Linked DNA regions of Sus scrofa. The protein of the gene in region 3 interacts with the protein of the main gene of each other region in a pairwise test. Links are inferred from orthologs where the notes say so. Each region holds a gene or a part of one and is shown on either strand. Other genes may lie near its edges.

The links. The genes of interacting proteins can lie anywhere in the genome.
Region 1: the proteins of SPRED1 (region 3) and CREB5 interact in binary tests that used the Homo sapiens proteins (3 or more experiments, as listed by UniProt). The link is inferred for Sus scrofa from reciprocal best matches to the Homo sapiens genes SPRED1 and CREB5.
Region 2: the proteins of SPRED1 (region 3) and HPCAL4 interact in binary tests that used the Homo sapiens proteins (3 or more experiments, as listed by UniProt). The link is inferred for Sus scrofa from reciprocal best matches to the Homo sapiens genes SPRED1 and HPCAL4.

The regions. Positions count from the first base shown.
Region 1 is NC_010460.4:44,261,083-44,267,326, reverse strand, and holds the start of CREB5 (cyclic AMP-responsive element-binding protein 5), read left to right. Parts: upstream 1-2,850; 5' UTR 2,851-2,930; intron 2,931-2,936; exon of another isoform or gene 2,937-3,417; 5' UTR 3,418-6,244. UniProt on the Homo sapiens protein: Binds to the cAMP response element and activates transcription.
Region 2 is NC_010448.4:95,512,499-95,518,631, reverse strand, and holds the start of HPCAL4 (hippocalcin-like protein 4), read left to right. Parts: upstream 1-2,739; 5' UTR 2,740-2,920; intron 2,921-6,133. UniProt on the Homo sapiens protein: May be involved in the calcium-dependent regulation of rhodopsin phosphorylation.
Region 3 is NC_010443.5:132,960,436-132,965,964, reverse strand, and holds part of SPRED1 (sprouty-related, EVH1 domain-containing protein 1), read left to right. Parts: intron 1-2,933; coding exon 2,934-3,108; intron 3,109-5,529. UniProt on the Homo sapiens protein: Tyrosine kinase substrate that inhibits growth-factor-mediated activation of MAP kinase. Negatively regulates hematopoiesis of bone marrow.

The sequences.
Region 1 (6,244 bases), on a different chromosome or scaffold from region 3:
GGGCTCTGTTGGCATGGTTTGGCAGATGAGAGCCTGCTTGGTACAGATGGTGCATGTATGGGTTAGTGTGGGGCTGGGATGGGTCTGGGGACACAGGTTCTTTTTGCATTTATTTGGTTAAGTTTGCTAAAATCACTGGCTCTCCTTCTGTCATGGCATTGGCCACATTAATTTCATTGATAAAAGTGAGGGTAAGTACTTATTTGTCCTGTGCCAGCCTCACTTTGGAGTCCACGTTCATAAATACCACCTGTCTTTTTCATTTTACATTTAAAAAATTGTATGTATGGGTGATTTATTTGGTAACAGAGATCTGAAATATACAGAAAACTGTAATGCAATGGCTAGAAACATTGTGAATGAAATTGCTGTCAGTTCAGCAGAAGCTAAGAGGTGAGTCAGCACCACAAACAATATGGCTGATGTGGAGAAATTATCTGTCCATTGAGACTCCAAGTAACCTAATGATTATCAAGTTTTTGGGGAAGTCATTGGAAGAGTCCCATGTGTATTCTCTTGTCAACCGTGGTGTAGACAGGGTGATGTTTACCTGGTAACAGCACATCAAACAAAAGATCAGCAACAATTTTCAAGGATGGACAACTGATTTGGATAGTATTAGAAACTGATGAGCTACTTGCTTTAAAACTCAAATATATGCTTCTGTTTAGAGAATATTGGGAATTAAATGTTTTAAATTTATATGTTGATTAACTAATTACAGGTTTTAAACTCTTTTGATCATCATCTCAGTTTTGCTTATTCAATTCTCCATTCTATTCCTTTGGTCCACACCTGTCAGCCGGAAGAAGAGATGAGCTCTCTGACTGAGCATTGATAAGTTAGGCTGTCTGCCTTTTCTGTCTCAAGGTTGCTCCTTGTCTGGTTCACGCTTTTTCTTTAAGGGAGAAGGAGGTAGATCCTTGCTTTAGGTGGAAAAGGATGTCCAGCTAATTGAGTAGGAATGTGGGCAAGGAGGCTGTTCCTCAGGAGGCTGTTGCTTTCTTCTGTAAACACAGGTAATTGAGCTGTCATTTTAAAAGTTTTATTAGTTAAGATTCAAGTTAGGACTGGAGCCCTTCTTTTGCAATTCCTTCAGGGCTACACGTGGAAGAGAACAAATAGGAAACGCAGTGATGAGTTCTGAATCAAGCTGTGGGAAAGGAATAGTCAGCAGTCCCTGTGGTCTCAAGAAACACCAAGAAAGAGAGTTGTTTAAACACTTAAAAAATAGAAAGGAAACACAGAGCTCTTCCATTTAGTATGGCAAAACCAGCTCAGAAGTATGTGACGATCCAGGCAAAGCACGACAGTTTCTAGCCAGTCCAGTCATGATTCTCTGGCAAACTGCACAGTCATGGTTATGATGCATTGGGATGAGAGGTGCTATATAAATGTCAGATGTTACATAAATGTCAGGAATGATTATTGTTTGTTAATGGGGGCTAAACTGTTCCTAAGCAAAGCTTGGACTCCCAGCCAACTCGTCCTCAGCAAAGGTTCTAACCATCAATAACCCATGAGAATGGAAAGCTCCGCCCTGGTTCTAGAAAGGAGTCCAGTTAGGATTTGGAGTTTTAAAACAGGGGCGGGAGTTATCCAGTGGCTTCAGGCCAGCCCCCTAAGCTTCTGGAATTTGCCTTGGCTCCCTGTAAAATGGGGATAATTATAACACCTGCCCTACTTCTCCTTGTGCTGGGTTGTTGTGAGAATCAGGGGAGTTCCACGTGGGTTCCAGTGCTTTGCAAAGTGTGAGCTGCTGCAAGGATGACCGTGGTGCTCTGAGATGTCTGGCATCTCCTGGATTTAGCCTCTGCCTTCCCTTTGAGTCCGACTCACAGAGAGAACATCCGAATGGAAATTAAGCTGGGGATGGCCATGGTGACCTGGCTGATGCTGAAAACACCAGGCTCCTTCTCTCACTGAGCTGTCAGGAACGTACTGCAGACCAGGGCCCCGAATCCTGCATTCCGGCTCTGGCTCTGCCACTTGCCAGCTTATGAGCTTGGGCAAGTAACAGAGGAGGCTCTGGAAGTGAGCGCCAAGGGCCCTTCCGGATCTGACGCTGAGTCTAAATCAGGCTCATCATTTGGCTCTAGCTGTAATTCACCTTTCGCCTGCAGGAACAACGCTCCTTCCAGCTTCTCACACTCATGAAGCAGGGGTCTTGGGAAGGACAGGGGCATCACATTCCAAATGAGTGTGCACAATAAAGAAGTTATTCCTTTGGAGGTGAAATGGGGCGCGGCGGGGGGGGGGGAGGGCCGTGAAAAGGGGTGTCGAGTGAATGCTCTGAGAAGCCAGGATGCAGGGAACACTGTAATGAGGTCACGACTGTCGCAGGCAAAAAGGAGCTGGACATCTGCTGGTGGGGGAAGGGGGAGCGTTCCTCATTTCTGTTTGTAGAAAGTCTCTTCCCGCATTCGTCTGCACCCCCTCCCCACCCTTCCTCTACTCCCCATTCCCACCCTTCCCCTACTCCCCGTCCCCACACCTTTCAAATGCCACCAGGCCCTCCTCACGGGAGAGCCCAGGTCCCTGCCTCCTCCGTGGTCCCGTCTGAAACCGTGACGATTGTTTCCAAGCTGACTCACACCACTAATGTCAGGGAGCCGTGTCACACGGCGCTGGCCTCTGCAAGCTGTTGCTCGCGCGGTCGCCGCTGCCGCCGCCGCTCCCCCGCGGGTGCACCAGAGTCGGCTGGTGGGGCGGTGCGCGGGCGGGGCCCGCCCCCTCGGCGCGCCGGCCCCGCCCCTCCCTCCTCCCCCCACCCCCCCACGGGCCGCAATGATTTAGAAGTTCAGGAATCCCACGTGACGTCACCGGGGGGGTGATGTAATGCACTCTAAATAGAATGTATTGTAATCTTTGCTCAGTCCAACGTGGTCCCTTCACCCGGGCTCCGCTCTTGCCTTCTCCACACTTGTTTGGTAAGTTCCTAAAAATACGGCTCGGCCACTTCTGGGGCTTTTGCATTTAGCCACTTTTGTTGCACTTGCCGCGGGAGCCATCTCGGGAACGTACTTGTTTGCAGGGGCTGGTTCTCGGCAGCAGCCGCGAGGTTACTTGGTCTAGTGGGCAGGTCACAGGGCAAGAAGTAGGGGAAGATGCGATGCATTTTTTTTTTTTTTTTGGAGGATGATCTGTGTTTGTAAACACTCTGGCGGACCAGAGGGAAGTCCGTCCCCCAATGCTGGTGGACCGTGGAATTCGGCTGTGTCCTGAGGCTACCCCAGAGACCCCACGCCGAGTCCGTCCCGGAGCGCGTCTCGGTGGCCGCCGCGCCGTGCGACTGGAGGGATGCTAACGTGGAGCGAGCGCCGTGTCAGCCCCGGCGTGCGTGCGTGTGTGGGAGCGCGCGTGTGTTTCCCTGACACGGGGAACAGTTATGAATCGGGGGTGTGTGTTTGCCTCCAGAGACCTGGCAAGGTGCGGAACCCTCCAGAAGTGCGGTCAAGCGGCGTCAGCGGTGGCGGCAGCGGAGACGGCGAGCCAGGAACCGCCCCCCGCGTCCCCAACTTCCCGGTGATGCGGCGGAACCCCCGGAAAAAGTTTGCAAACTTCCAGCGGGCGCGGCGAGGACGCCGGGTCACCTAGGGGGCGGATGGACGGGCGCGCGGGGGGCTCGCTCCCTCCCCGGTGCTGAGCCTGCTGCTGCCACCTCTCCCGCAGGGCTGCCGGCCCCAGGTGGTGGGCGCGCGCGCCCTGGGAGGGGACGTCGCTCTTGGAGGGCACTTTGCTTTCACTCCGGGCGCGGAGGGCTGGAGAGTGGCGAGGCTCTTCTCGCCTTCATTCCTCCAGCCACCTCTTGCCTCCGTCCGGTTCTCGTTGGCATCATTACCTCTTCTCCGCTGCTGCCCCAAATGACAGCTCCCGCTTTTGCCGCGGCGGCGCGGTGGCAGTTCCCAGGATACGGCGGCGGCGAAGCCCTCTTCTCCAGGCAGATTCTTCAAGGAATCGCTTAAAACTTTTCACGACGGTCTTAGAGGGGCAAGACGCACGAAGCAACCAAAGAGATGTTTTTTCCCCGTCGGCTGCATTTCGCTTTTCTTTTGCTATAGGTTTATTGGGGGGGGTGCTAATCTGGTAGATGAAGCCCCCGATCTTGATCTTGTCCACTCCTCCCTAACTTTCCTTGAACGGGTGCCGCCCCCACTTGAGGCTGGTACAGGGCCGGGAACTCAAGTGGGTCTCTTGTGTATTTCGTTGTCAGAGCCCGCAGAGTGTATGATTTTTATTTTTCCCTCCCTCTCTGACATGTGTCAAGGAATAAAGGCTGGAGACAGGTCCATTACGTCATTCTGCAGGCCGTAAGTGTTTGATTAACAGCTTCAGATACTCAAGGGTTAGGGGCTTAGAAGTGCTGACAAAGCAACTATGCTTTCCATCCCCAGCCCCCACCATACTCGTACAATCGCCGATTCCCTGGGCATCTTTATTACCCTCTCCCTCTGGACCCCTCCTTCTCCGCCCGCTCTCTCCCGCCCATACCGTTATCACTCTGGCCCCGCCTCCGCCTTTTACTGCTTTCCCTGGGGCGGTCACAGTCCCTGGAGCGTGGTGAGAGCTTCTGGCGGCTGAGGGGGGCACAGTACCTGATCTGCGGGCACACAAGCTGCCCTTTTCTATTATTTAAGAAAGGCGCTAGCGAGCCCTCTCCTCTAGGGCAAAAATAACTTAGTCCTGATAGAAAAGGCATCTCAGGAAATGTTTAGAGACGCTACGGTGGATAATACCACGTCCCTGTGTTGACTTAGGAAAACAACACACCCACAGCAAACAAAGTACTTAATTTTACATAACGCCTTCCTCTTTCCTTCCAGCAGTTAGCCGGAGGGGGATGGCGAGGTTGTGCTGACTAAATCAAATTTATCCGAAAGGCTCAAGATTAAACGTTTCATTTCCAAAGTTAGGGAATGTGAGTCTTGGAACCCGAATACTATACAATAAATTGGGGCGTGTGTTACTTTCTTAATCTTAACCTTAAGTTTCTTTATTTAAAGAGGAAGTTAAGTATGGAAGTCACTGAATCGAGCCAGAATCTCCGTATCTGGCAGTTGAAATAAAAATACTGTTTGTGACACGTTTAAGGGATAAAAGTAAAAAGATCTCCGAGGGGTGGGGGTGCGGGGGTGCAGCAGGAGTCAAATAGAAGATTTCCTAACAGGATTTTGGATGGAGGAGGGCAGAGAGTTTCAGGGCTCTCTGATTTGGAGTTGGTGAAAGTTAAATAAAGGAAAATTTATATTCTGAGTATGTGGGAATTTCTTGAAGCATGCGTGTCTTGTTATAATCAAATCTGCTTTCTTCAAAGTGAAAGCCGTGCTGTAGAGTAGGCATTTGTGAAACTCCTGTCTGGGGTCTAATTGACATCTCCTTCCCCAAGTTTGTGGCAGTGTTTATTATTTATTCACATCTAGAGATGAAATAGTATAACCCCCACACAATACATGTGCATCTAAAATGTTAAACTTCTTGTTTGTGATGCATACATAGACCCAAAGGGAAAAATGGCCCGGGTCACCAGCACTGGAGAGTGTGATTAATGATCAGTGATTTAGTGATCAGTGATTAGTGGTTTTATTCAAACTGTTACCTCTGACCAGAAGCACACATCAGAGGATTAACAGGCTCTTTAGATAAATGCTCATTAGTGGAAGGGGGAAAGCAAAGATAATAGGCATGCACCCAGGGACAACTTTCGAAGAAAATCATTCCCCGTCTTCAGAATAATAAGCTCTATTAACAGAAAGCCCTTTTAATTTAAAACTTGCTTTTATCTTGTAAATCAAAGTTAGATGTAAAAGTTTGTAGTGCCATTATAACCTAAATTTTCCCATATCCACTTGATGTGGATTATCTCAGTAGCGATATTTTTTTTTATTTAAATAAACAATTGGACCTTTAAAGCAGCTGGACCCTGACAAGTCCTTAACTCCCAGGGTTTGAAGGTGTCCCCCCTTCTAGAAGGGAGAGTGCAGCTTGCTAACTAGATGGCGCACTGCTATTTGGTGTGCTGTGCTGTGTCCTGCAGGAGTCCAAAGGAGCAAGTAGCTGCTTGCGAGGTGTTCTCCCACACTCACAACAAAGTTGATTCTGTGCAGGGTTGGAGGCTAGACAGTTCTACAAGTTTTTAGTCACATTTTCCATGTCAGTTGAATCTAGGGAGTTCAAGGCTTCTGGAAAAATTGGTCTCATTACTAAAAGAAACGTAGAACCCAGGAGGAGAGGAGGTACGGGGAGA
Region 2 (6,133 bases), on a different chromosome or scaffold from region 3:
ATTAGCCCTCGGGCCCCTACCACCCTAGCATCTTTCCTGCCCACTCCACTCTTTGCAGAACAGAGTCCTTGATCTAGGACTAAGGCCAGCATCCATTCCGGTTGGTAATGCTTGTGCCTAAATGAGTTGTTAGTTTTTTGGGTTTTTTTTTTTTTTTGTCTTTTTGTCATTTCTTGGGCCGCTCCCATGGCATATGGGGGTTCCCAGGCTTGGAGTCGAATTGGAGCTGTAGCTGCTGGCCTACGCCAGAGCCATAGTAACGCGGGGATCCGAGCCGCATCTGCAGCCTACACCAAAGCTCACGGCAACGCCGGATCCTTAACCCACTAAGCAAGGGCAGGGAACGAACCTGCAACCTCATGGCTCCTGGTCGGATTCATTGACCACTGAGCCACGATGGGAACTCCGAGTTGTTAGGTTTTTTTTTTTAATATCCACCCCTGGCAGTGGTCATCTCTGGGATGATGCAGACTTGGCAGAGTGTCTGGCACAGAGCAAAGCAACTCAATCAATGTCAACTGCTATAGCTTTAAACACTGAACCTAAAGGGCAGAGGCAGGATCAAGATCAGAGCCTCATAAGCTGGTAAAGATGGGTTATGACTGGCAGATCAGGAACAATTAGAGGGCATGTGATGATTCATGGGCAAGGCTGTGTGGGTGGGCTGGCCGGGTTTAAAGAGCCAGAGCAAGACCAATCTATTCTGCTGGGCTTTGCCTTTCTAATGCCTTGGGCGATCCAAGGAGAATATTCTAATCCGAGGTCCCTTGGGTTGAGGACTTGAAGGCCTTAAAGAGAGGTGGTATTTTGTGCTGGCTACAAGTGTAGGTGCTGGAGCCAGAATGCTTGGGTTCAAATCCCAGCTCAGTGGCTTTACTAGCTTTGTGAACATGCCCTGGTCATGTAACAGTTCTGTGCCTCAATGTCTCATCTGTTAAATGGGAGTGATAAAAGTACCTGCCTCAGAAAAATCTTATGAGGAACAAAGTAGGTAATACATATAAAGTGTTAGAATAGCATTTGGCACAAAGTAAGGTCTCTATGTGTTAGTTATTATCAAGGAGGTCACAAATGTAGTGGAGCAGTCTAATTCGTGCCCACACAGGTCCGTCCACTTTTTTCTTCCCCTCCTAGTTGAAATTCTCCTCCTCCCCTAGGCCTCCTGTACCAGCTCCCACATTTTACAGACTGGGAAGCACAGAGTGAGAAGGATGTTGCCCATGGTCTTATGTGGGGTCATTGGCAAAGACGGGACTCCATTTTCAAATTCTAGAGACCACTTCCAGCATCTTATGCTGCCACTTCCACTTCCTCATGCTTTGGATTATGATATCAGTGAGCAGGGATGGGTCCCCAGGGCTAGAGGCTCAGGACGTGACGGAGTCAGGGCTTTCAAACACCTGTCCCTTGTCAGTCACCAAAGGGGACAGGGACGTGCCTACTTACTGGTGCCCCAGGTATGCTCTCATCCCACTAGGACGCCTGCAGCTAGGAGGAAGGGACAGCAAAACAGGTTCAAGAGGGACTGGGATGGTGCCTAAAGAAAAAGAGAGAACACCACTGACTTCTCCCCAGCGAGCCTGGCCATGAAGTTTCTGGGATCAGCCGAGAAACCAAGCCTTCGCTCTTGACCAGCTGGCCCCGCCCACCGCAAAAATTGCTTTCTTGGGCAGAAGTCCCGCCTCTCCCCCTCCCACCTCATGGCTCTTTAGCATCCCAGCTCTGATTGGACTAATCCCCAGACTCCCCGCCCTACTTTTGACAGATGCTTAGCAGTCCCTCCCCTGCACGTGGCCCAGCCAGAGGCTGGCTGCTCCCCTTCCCTACTCGCCCCCCCCACCTCCCCCAGCTTGGAGTAAAAAGGTTCCCTCTCGTCGCCTTGGGTCGGGAGCTCTCAGCTTCCATTGCAGCTGGGGCGGCAGGACAGGGCTTTGGGGAGACCCCCAAGTGCGGGAGGAGGTGTTCCCAGGGCCCTGAAACCTTCCAGACCTGCTCAGTGTAAACCGCCTCGGGCTTGTGTCAACATCCGAAGCCAGAGACTGGCGGCGGCTGGGGACAGACTTCGTCTAAGGAGACCGGAGGGTGGGGAATGGAGGGGTCCATAGGGTAGGCAGAGAGATCCCAGGAGGCTTCCTGAGACTGAGAAATAAGGAAAGTCTGTCTGGGGAGGGATCGGAATTAGAGGCTGTAAGGGGCCCAGGACTAGCGTGGGGCTAAGTGGAGCCTGGGTACTTCGCCATCCCCGTCCACTTGCCTGCTCTCAGTTCCTTGGCGAGAGGGGTGGTTGGGTTGGAAGGGGGATGAGAAGGCGTGGGCTGCTGACTACCGCATCTTTTTCCTCCCCACTCAGTTCCTCCTCACCCTCCTCTGATTTGGGGTGAGATACAGGAGGGGGTCACATCTTGTGACTCATCCCCTTTTCTGTCCCCACCCCCGCTGGGGCCCAAGAAGGAAAGGCTTAGAGACTCGGCTGTGGCTCTCTCGTTTCCATAGCAACCGTGCGGTTGTTTTCGCGGATCCATATCAATCGTGGACACTTTTAACCCCTGAGGCCCGGGTCTGAGCCTCGGGGAGGGAGACAGATGGGGGTACAGCCCTCCCTCTTCCTCGCGACTCTGGGAAGGTCAGGGAGGGCAGGCGGGGCGCGTTCTTGTAGCCCAGCCTCACTGGCCACTTGGTCCCCACCTGAAACCCCGCCTGCCACTCCGCCTCAGCCGAGCCAATCAACGCCTAATCTGCCCAGAATGAGGCGGGGCTTATGCAAATCGTGTCGCCTCCGACAGACACATAGTGATACAAGAGCTGGGAGGCGGCTCCGGCGCGGACCTTGGAGAACCTGGCGGCCGGCCCGCGAGCCAGTCTCGGTCCCCACGGCCCGCCGAGGCTCAGAGTCATCCAGCGACCCGGCGCTCGGCCTCAGGTAACGCGGGCAGGGCCGGGAGGAGGCCCTTGTCCCCTCCCCCTCCACTCTCCATTCCCATCCTCGTCTTCTGCCCCACTCTGATCCATCTCCCTGACCCCTGGTTCCACCATAGGAGGCAGTATATGGAGAGCCCGCCCCTGGCCAGAGGATTCCTCCCCACCCCTCCAGTCCATTCCAGACCCTACAGGTCCCAGGGAAGGAGGCAGAAGCGTGTCCTTACTCTCAGAGCAACCACTGCTCTCGCGCCCAACACACACACACCACACACACACACACACACACACACCTGGGGTCGCAGTGTTGCTGGTGCCAACGAAGGAACCCATCACTCTCCCTCCTTTGGAAATGGGAGATTGCCCCAGCCCCATGGCAACCACCCACCTCCACAGGTAGCCCTCACCGCACACCATCCAACCCCACCAAGAGGTCACTGCACTTCACACCACAATGTCGCTGGCCCCCAAGACAGCCTCCGCCTCCACAGAGAGCCCACTCCCACTTCACGTTGTCGCCTCAGACTGTCCGCACCTCCAGCTCTCAAGCTGACAGAGCTCATAGCATACTTGTGGGAGGGAGGAGGCTCCCACATCCAGTTCTCTTCCTTGAGACACTCTCTCAACAGCCCCCCTGCCCAGGGTCTCAGTGTGAGGCGCAGGCCTCTTTTGCCTGGTGGGAGGATGAACCAGGGACAACACCCCCAACAGACCGTCAAGGTCCCACCCAGCCTCCTCCATTCCCCCAGCTCTCAGCCCTCACGGCCAAAGCACCAAGTCTTCTCATTCCACCTCTCAAATATCTAATTCATACCCTTCCTGGACTTCTGGCATCCAGCCGCTCCCTCTCTCCTATCTTCCTGTGGCTCCACAGGGACCATGACAAAGCTCCAGGTGTGCCTTGCCTAAGGCAGCCTGAACCTGGAGGGCAGAAGAGCCAGGCTCAGATCTTGCCTTTGCCTCAGTGGCTGTTTGACTTAGGCCAAGTCACTTCCTTCTCTGATCTTCCACCAAATGGGGAATTCAGGGGTGGGGTTGGTGTGGGCAAGCCAGAGTGTGGAGTTGATGAGATGATCTTGGACAGCTTTCCAGCACTGACATACTCTGGTTCTGTGGCTGATTATGAGAAAACAGGGCCCTCTCCCTCTTTCCCTGAACCTTTAGGACATTTGAGAGAGGAAGCCTCAGGGACTTTAGTCCTCACTGAAAGGACATTGCTTCTTTCCCAGACCTGAGTATGGACCACCCCCTCCCACACACTTTCCAGACCCAGGCTTCTTCTCAGCTTTTAGGAGTCCCTCCTAGGTCATCAGCCCGCATGACATGGGCAGGTTCAGGGTAGAGGAATTCAACAGGACCTACCCTTTTTTTGTCATCCCCTGTTTCTCAATAATAAGGAGAAGGAGAAGACCTGACTGTTGCTGCTATGGCCGCTGCTTGGAGAAGAGCAAAGGAAGGAGAGGAAAGAGAAAAATCTCCTGACCAGGGAGCTGTTGTCACCATAGCAACAGTCTCAGCACCAGCTCCTCTGAAGCTGGGTGAGGGTGTGGGATTATTGCCTCCCTCAGTCCCTCCCACCCTTCCTGCCACCTCTCCCTCTGGAGCCCACACTCCTGGGCCCTGCCCTCTGAAAGTAGCTTCTGAGCCCAGAGGGACAGCGGCTTTGTGTATGGGGCAGTGCCAGCTCCTTCAAGGCTGGAGGGCAGCCCTCAAGAGGAGCCTGCCCATCTTCAGCATGGCCGCAGCTGCAACAGGACATGCCCCCAGTGGGTTCTGGCCTTCACCTTTCTGCTGACGGGCTCTACTTGACCTTGGGTGAACTCTTCCTTTCCCCATTGTCTCTAAGGTGCCATGGCAGGAGAACACAGATAAACAAACCAGCCAGCCATCATCTCAAGGAGAAAAAAGGGGGTTCTGCCTCTCCCATATAATCCATGCAGGGACATTCATTAAACATGTCTGTGTTCCAGACATGGCCTTTAGGTCTCTGCAGGGCAGTTCTGTACTGTCACAGAGGGCAGAATGGAAACCTGCGTGGGGCAGCTACAAGAGGGCACGATAGGAACAGTGGGAGAAACACTTTTCTCACTGGCCCAGCTGCTCCCAAGAAGGCTGGGTTACATCAAGTAGGGATAAACTCTTTGCCATGGAGCAAAAGGTCTAGAGAACTTTTCCTGGCTCAGGCAAGAATTTAATGCAAAGGTCTCCCCCAAATCAGGCTCTATTCCCGAATTCTAGAGCGCCAGGTGAGGGTCAGAGGACTCTGGAGTCTATGCACCTGTGGGCTCAACTCCATGCCCAGAATGCCAAGTCCATGCTGCTGACTGTCTACTCTCCAGGCTGGGGGAGGCTGATCATAAGGCAGTGGGCTTCAGTCAGGCCCAAAGGCTGATTATAGCTGCATCAGCCCAGAAGGGCAGAAAGGCTATTAGGGAAGATGAAAACAGCCAAGCAATAGTTGAAATAGGTTCTGGCTTGAAAGTACGTAGTTGAGAGGGGAGCAGTGGGAGGTGAGGCTAGACAGGTAGACACCTTGACATCAGATTCTAGAGGACTCTGGAGTTTGAGGGGGCTCATGGGCAAGGCCACCATCTATCTCTAGTTTATATTGTACTTTTGGGCAATAACAGAAAAAACATTCTCTTGGGACAGAGGAATCAGAAAGAAAGGCACTCCCTCCAAGGCAGTTGAGCTCAGGGGCATGGCTTGGCAAAGCAGTGCCCCAACTGGCTTTCAGCCCCCTCCACTGTGCCCCTGGCCCTGGCTATGACAGAGGACAGAGTGAAGGTTTCGGGAGTACTTCAAAAGGAAGAATACTAGGACTTATAGCAAGTTGGACTTAGAGATAAGGGAGAAATTAAAGGTAACTAGGAAAGAAGGAAGGGCCATGGAAAGAGAAGGATCATCACAGGTTGAGGGCGAGTCTGGTCGTGGATGTGCTGAATCAGAGGTGCTGGTGGGCCACCCCAAGGGATAGATATTTCCTGGGTATCAGATACCATGACCTAGAGCCAACAAGATGGTCCTATTAAGGCCAAGAGGAAGATCAGAGCTATGGCTTCCTTGGAGGGTGGGTGGAAGTCTTTGCTGGACAAGAGTAGCCATGACTTGGAGTGGGTAGTCCAGACAGGTGATATGGATTCAGCCTGGTTTCTCATCCCCTTCCACTAGCTTACTGTGTAAGTCTGAGCCAGCTTTCTCTTTTCTCTGAGTTCCA
Region 3 (5,529 bases):
AGATCTTTTTACTATATTTACAATTAAATTATAATTAAATTATAAATTAAGTATTTATAATTAAATGATTATTGGAAACTTGAATTTTGGTTTTGACCCTTGTGACTTTGTAACTTCACTGAACTTCAGATATGTTGAGCTTTACATGCAGAAGTTCAGTTCACAAATACTTAATCCAAACCTAATATGTCTAAGTTATATGCTATGCTTCTGGGATATCCTTGGCCTTAAAATCTTGATAAATCAAATAACCTTCGTTTACTTTTACTTGTGGGTCTCCAAGCTCGTTCCCACTGTAATAAGCTTCTCTGGGGCTTGGGATGCATGCCATGTTTATTTCTAGTAGAGGGGTTTGTTCTAGCCCATCCCAGGAGGAGGATTCTAATTTGACATCAACCTCAGCCCTGTCTTTATAGGCCCAGACAAGAAACAGAAGCTCCAAATAAATAATAAAAAGCTGAGACAGAATAGTCTTTTGTGAATTAAAAACTTTGAAAAGTTCTATATAAAGAGTTATTTTGACCCTAGTAATAGAGAATTATGTTTGACCTTATAAATTCTATTTTTTCCCTGGCTTTGAATTAATATTATGACAACTACTTCAATTTTAAATTCTTTGTTGTAATAATAATTAACTTATAATAAAATATATATATTGTTTATTATGTGTCAGACATTGTTTTCATTTATTAGAGGTAGGTTCTGTAACTTTCTCAAAAACACATAGGTAAGTTGCTAAGATCCAACTTAAGGAAGTTTGACTTTAGATTCCTTACTCAACCATAACACAATGTCAGAGAGCTTTAAAAGTATACAGCTCTCTGACAAAAGATTTGTGTTGAGAATATATGAAGAACTTCTAAAAATCGTAATAAAGTACAGCATAATAAAAACATAAAAAGTCATATAGTGGCCAGTCAACATATAAAAATGCATAATATCATGCATCCATCATGAGAAATGAATATTAAAATCACAGTGGGTTACCAATTTATACTTAACTACCATGAATAAAATTTAAAAAACACAACACCAAATGGTGGAGTTCTTGTTGTGGCTCAGTGGGTTAAGGACCTGACATAGTCCCTGTGAGGATATGAACTTGGTTTCTGACCTTGCTCAGTGAGTTAAGGATCTGGCGTTGCTGTAAGCTACAGTGTAGGTCACAGATGTGGCTCGGATCCAGTGTTGTCATGGCTGTGGTGTAGGCTGCAGCTGCAGCTCTGTTTTGACCCCTGACCTGGGAACTTCCATATTCCATCAGATGTTGCCATAAAAAGAAAAAAAAAATGTTGGTGCAAATGCGGAGCAAATGAAACTATCATACATGTTGATGGGAATGTATAATGGGCCATTTGCACCTTGGGAAATAGTTTGTTAATTTATTATGTAGTTAAACATGGTACCCTGTGATTCATCAATTCCATCCTTAGGTAATTATCAACAGAAATGAAAACATGTATCTACAAAAAGACTTATACAAGAATGTTCATAACAGTTTTATTCACCATAGCCAATAAGTAGGAACATTTCAAATGCCCATTCATCAAGAAGAAATAAATGAATTGTGGTTTATTTACTCAGTGGGAAGACTACTTAGCCGTAAAAAAGAACGAAACACTAATAAAACAACAATGAATGAAAGAAGTCAGACAAAAAGGGTGGTGGTGATTCTCTTTGATTCTATTTATGTGAAGGTCTATAATAGGCAAAACTATATGATAGAAACCATGGATAGCATTGGTTACCTAGGTTACCAAATTGATGGGAAAGAGGCTTTAAAGAATTTTCTGGAGTCATGAATATGCTCTATATCTTGATTATCATGTTGGATGTGCAGTTGTATACATTTGTCAGAATTTGTTGAATTTATACTTAATATCAATATACCAATATGAATTATTGTATGTAGCATATACCTCAATAAAATAAATATGTAAAGTAGAAAAAAAGCAAGGGGCAGATCTCATATCAGCACTGTGAGGACAGAAATGACACCTGGCAACCTAATACTTAGAACATGTGGATACACTAAGTAGCACAGAATTGTTACATTGTACCTCAGTTAACAGTTGTAATAACCAAGACAAGTTTAAGTTACACTCAATGTAATTTTTCAGAAGTCAGCAAGGTATAAAATGCTTAGAAAGGATTTCATTAATAATTATTATACTAAAAGTTTTAGAGCTGAAGTGTTTAGATGTCAGTTATCTAGAACATTATTATATGAAACATATTTCTCAGATTTATGTAAAGAATAGTTGTGATTAATATTGGGAAGTTATTCTGAATGGAACTAGAATATAGTGTCTTTTAAGAATAGTCTGCCAAAAAGGGAGCATGAAAACTTTCTATAGATCAGTTTGCTTGATAAGTTTTTAAAATGAAACATTTGTTTTTATATGATTTGTGTGATTTAGATTCCTAGTTAGGAAAAATCAAAAAATGTCTGGCCTAAGCATGTTTGTTTCAGCATTTTATTTGTAATATGTTTCGGAAATGTTAGAAACATAGAGATGTCACAATTAAATGTTCTAAAATACAGCAGTAATTTGTCCTGCTTATATTGCAGGTGGGCATATATTAGACAACTTTAATAGTCACCTGTGCAGTTTGACTGCATTTGTTTCTAGGATTCTTCCTTACTTGTTCATGGCAATCAGATGTGCTCAAACTATTCAAATGATGACTTGAAATTAGAAATTTTTATTGTGAGATTAGTCTTCAAAATAAAAGTTGACCTTTTAAGTTAGTTACTCTGTGGTTTTTTACCTTTTCAATTAAGTTGTATCCTGTGGACTGTCATAGAAGTAGTCCACACTTTAGTTACCACATATTAACTGATGTGGTCTTTGGTTTTTCAAGTAAGACTGATAGCTTGGCTGGTTTTTGTTTATGGAGAAGCTAATTTCTAATCTTTGCATCTGTTTTAGTAATAGTTATGCACGAGTGCGAGCTGTGGTGATGACCCGGGATGACTCAAGTGGTGGATGGTTACCACTTGGAGGGAGTGGACTAAGCTGCGTCACTGTCTTCAAAGTCCCTCACCAGGAAGAGAATGGCTGTGCTGACTTTTATATCCGTGGAGAGCGACTCAGGGACAAAATGGTAATGAATAATGCATATATGACTGTAATTTTAAAATTCTATAGAGTGAATTATCTATTTAAAATTATGAGGAGTTCCTGTTCTGGCACAGCGGAAACGAGTCTGACTAGGAACCATGAGTTTGCGGATTCTATCCCTGGCCTTGCTAAGTGAGTTAAGGATCAGGTGTTGCCAGTAGGTCAAAGATGTGGCTGAGATCCTGTGGTGCTGTGGCTGTGGCATAGGGCAGCAGGTGTAGCTCCGATTTGACCCCTAGCCTGGGAACTTCCCTGTGCCACAGGTGCAGCCCTAAAAAGCAAACAAAAAATTATGATTTTATTATGAAAATTATTTTTGTTCAAAATCAGTGATTGTTTCTTTAGCTCTTTTAGCTACAGAAGTTAAAGACAGCAAAATATGTCTGTTTCTTTGCAAGTGGGACTAACATTAACGTGTATGTGTTAGAAGGGAGCTGCTTTTCCAATTAGGTTTTATGTGAGAACATTCATGTATAGTCCGTCCCCCCGCCCCAGTTATTAAACCAGGCACATCTTCCTCCCCTTCTCCCAGTATTCCTTAGACTAGAGGTTGGCACTACAGTTCACAGGCTAAATCCAGACCTGTCGTTGTTTTTGCATAGCCCATGAGTTAAATGGTTCTTAAATTTTTAAATGACTGGGGAAAAAAAATCAAAGAATAATAACTTTATGAAGATGAAAATTATGTGAAATTCAAATTTCAGTGTCTATAAATAAAATATTATTGGAACATAGCCCCACTTGTTCGTTTGTATTTTACCTATGGCTGCTTTCACAATATAGTGACAAAGTTGAGTAGTTGCAACAGAGATTAAATATCTGGCCCCTTACAGAAACATTTTGCTGACCCCTACCCTAGAATTTTGTGTTCATAGGTTCTTTCTCCTCATCACTTATCAGTCTAAACTCATTATATAACTACCTGGTGGCCACCTTAGGTTTTAACTATGCTGTCTTCCACCCAGACAAGTGTTGTTTTTTTTTTTTTTTTTCCACATCTATATATTTTAAATTTGAATCTGACTTTTGATCATCTTAGCTATTTACCATCAATTATATATGGGAAGCTCTTTCTCCTTTATTTCATTTGTGAGCAAAAAACAACTCTAATCTTATCAGAAAAGCTGAGTGATGTTAGTCTTATTCCTGAATCAAGCAAATGGAGAGCATATGACTTAGCAAAATGAGAATAAGTGCCCCAAATTTCCAAGATTCTTGAAAATAACTAGAATTCCCTTTAGCTATGTATTTGTGGGCTGATATATGAGCTTATTCAGCATCTATATTATTATTTCTATTGAAAATGTGTTTTAAGTTTTGAATAATTCATACATAAAAATTTTGAATAAACCTACTTTTAATTTTGCTTCTTTGTTTCTGGATATTTTTTTACTACTAAATTAGTTCAGTAATTTAAAAAGTTGTCTAACTGTCTGTCTTCCAGTTTCTGCCTCAGGTAAATGGAGAGTTTTCCTAAATCATCTTGAAACCCTTCCAGCTCTAATGTTTTGTTAGTTTAGGATTCACTTATCAGTGCCTTTCAATTAACTAGAATGTGGTTTTAGGATAATAGAAAACTCCAGTTGAAGTCAGAAGTATATCTAATTTAACATGTCATCTCTGAAAGTTGAGATATTTAAATGTGGTTCTGGTCATGGATAACATGGTGGCTAGCATGTACTAATGCTTATTTAAAATAAAGCTTGTAGGAGTTCCCGTCATGGCGCAGTGGTTAATGAATCCGACTGGGAACCATGAGGTTGCGGGTTCGATCCCTGCCCTTGCTCAGCAGCTTAACAATCCAGCGTTGCCGTGAGCTGTGGTGTAGGTTGCAGACGTGGCTCAGATTCCGCGTTTCTGTGGCTCTGGCATAGGCTGGCAGCTACAGCTCTGATTAGACCCCTAGCCTGGGAACCTCCATATGCTGTGGGAGCAGCCCAAGAAATGGCAAAAAAGACCAAAAAAAAAAAAAGAAAGAAAAGAATCCTATAATAAAAATTAAAAAAATAAATAAATAAAATAAAATAAAGCTTGTAGAGTTCTTAGAGCCTATGGTGACTTGTCCTGTAGTGTAGTGCTTCTTGTTTGAGGTATCAGTAACTAGGAAGTGTTGTTGGGGAAGCTGTAGATTTTAGAAATTGAATAAAATAGTGACAATCTAAGGCATTTTTTAAAATAGTAAAGATGGAGAAAGAGAAGACAGAAACAAAAGTTGGAGAAAGAGTTGGAGAAGTTTGCTAGCAAAAGCATGGGAACAAAGATGTGAAACAGAGAAAAACAATCAGAGTGAAACAAAACACAGTTGGCCCTGTGTGTCTACAGGTTTTGCACCTATGGATTCAACCAACCACAGATGGAAAATATTTGAAAAAGAAATTCCAAAAAGTTCCAAAAAGCAAAAATT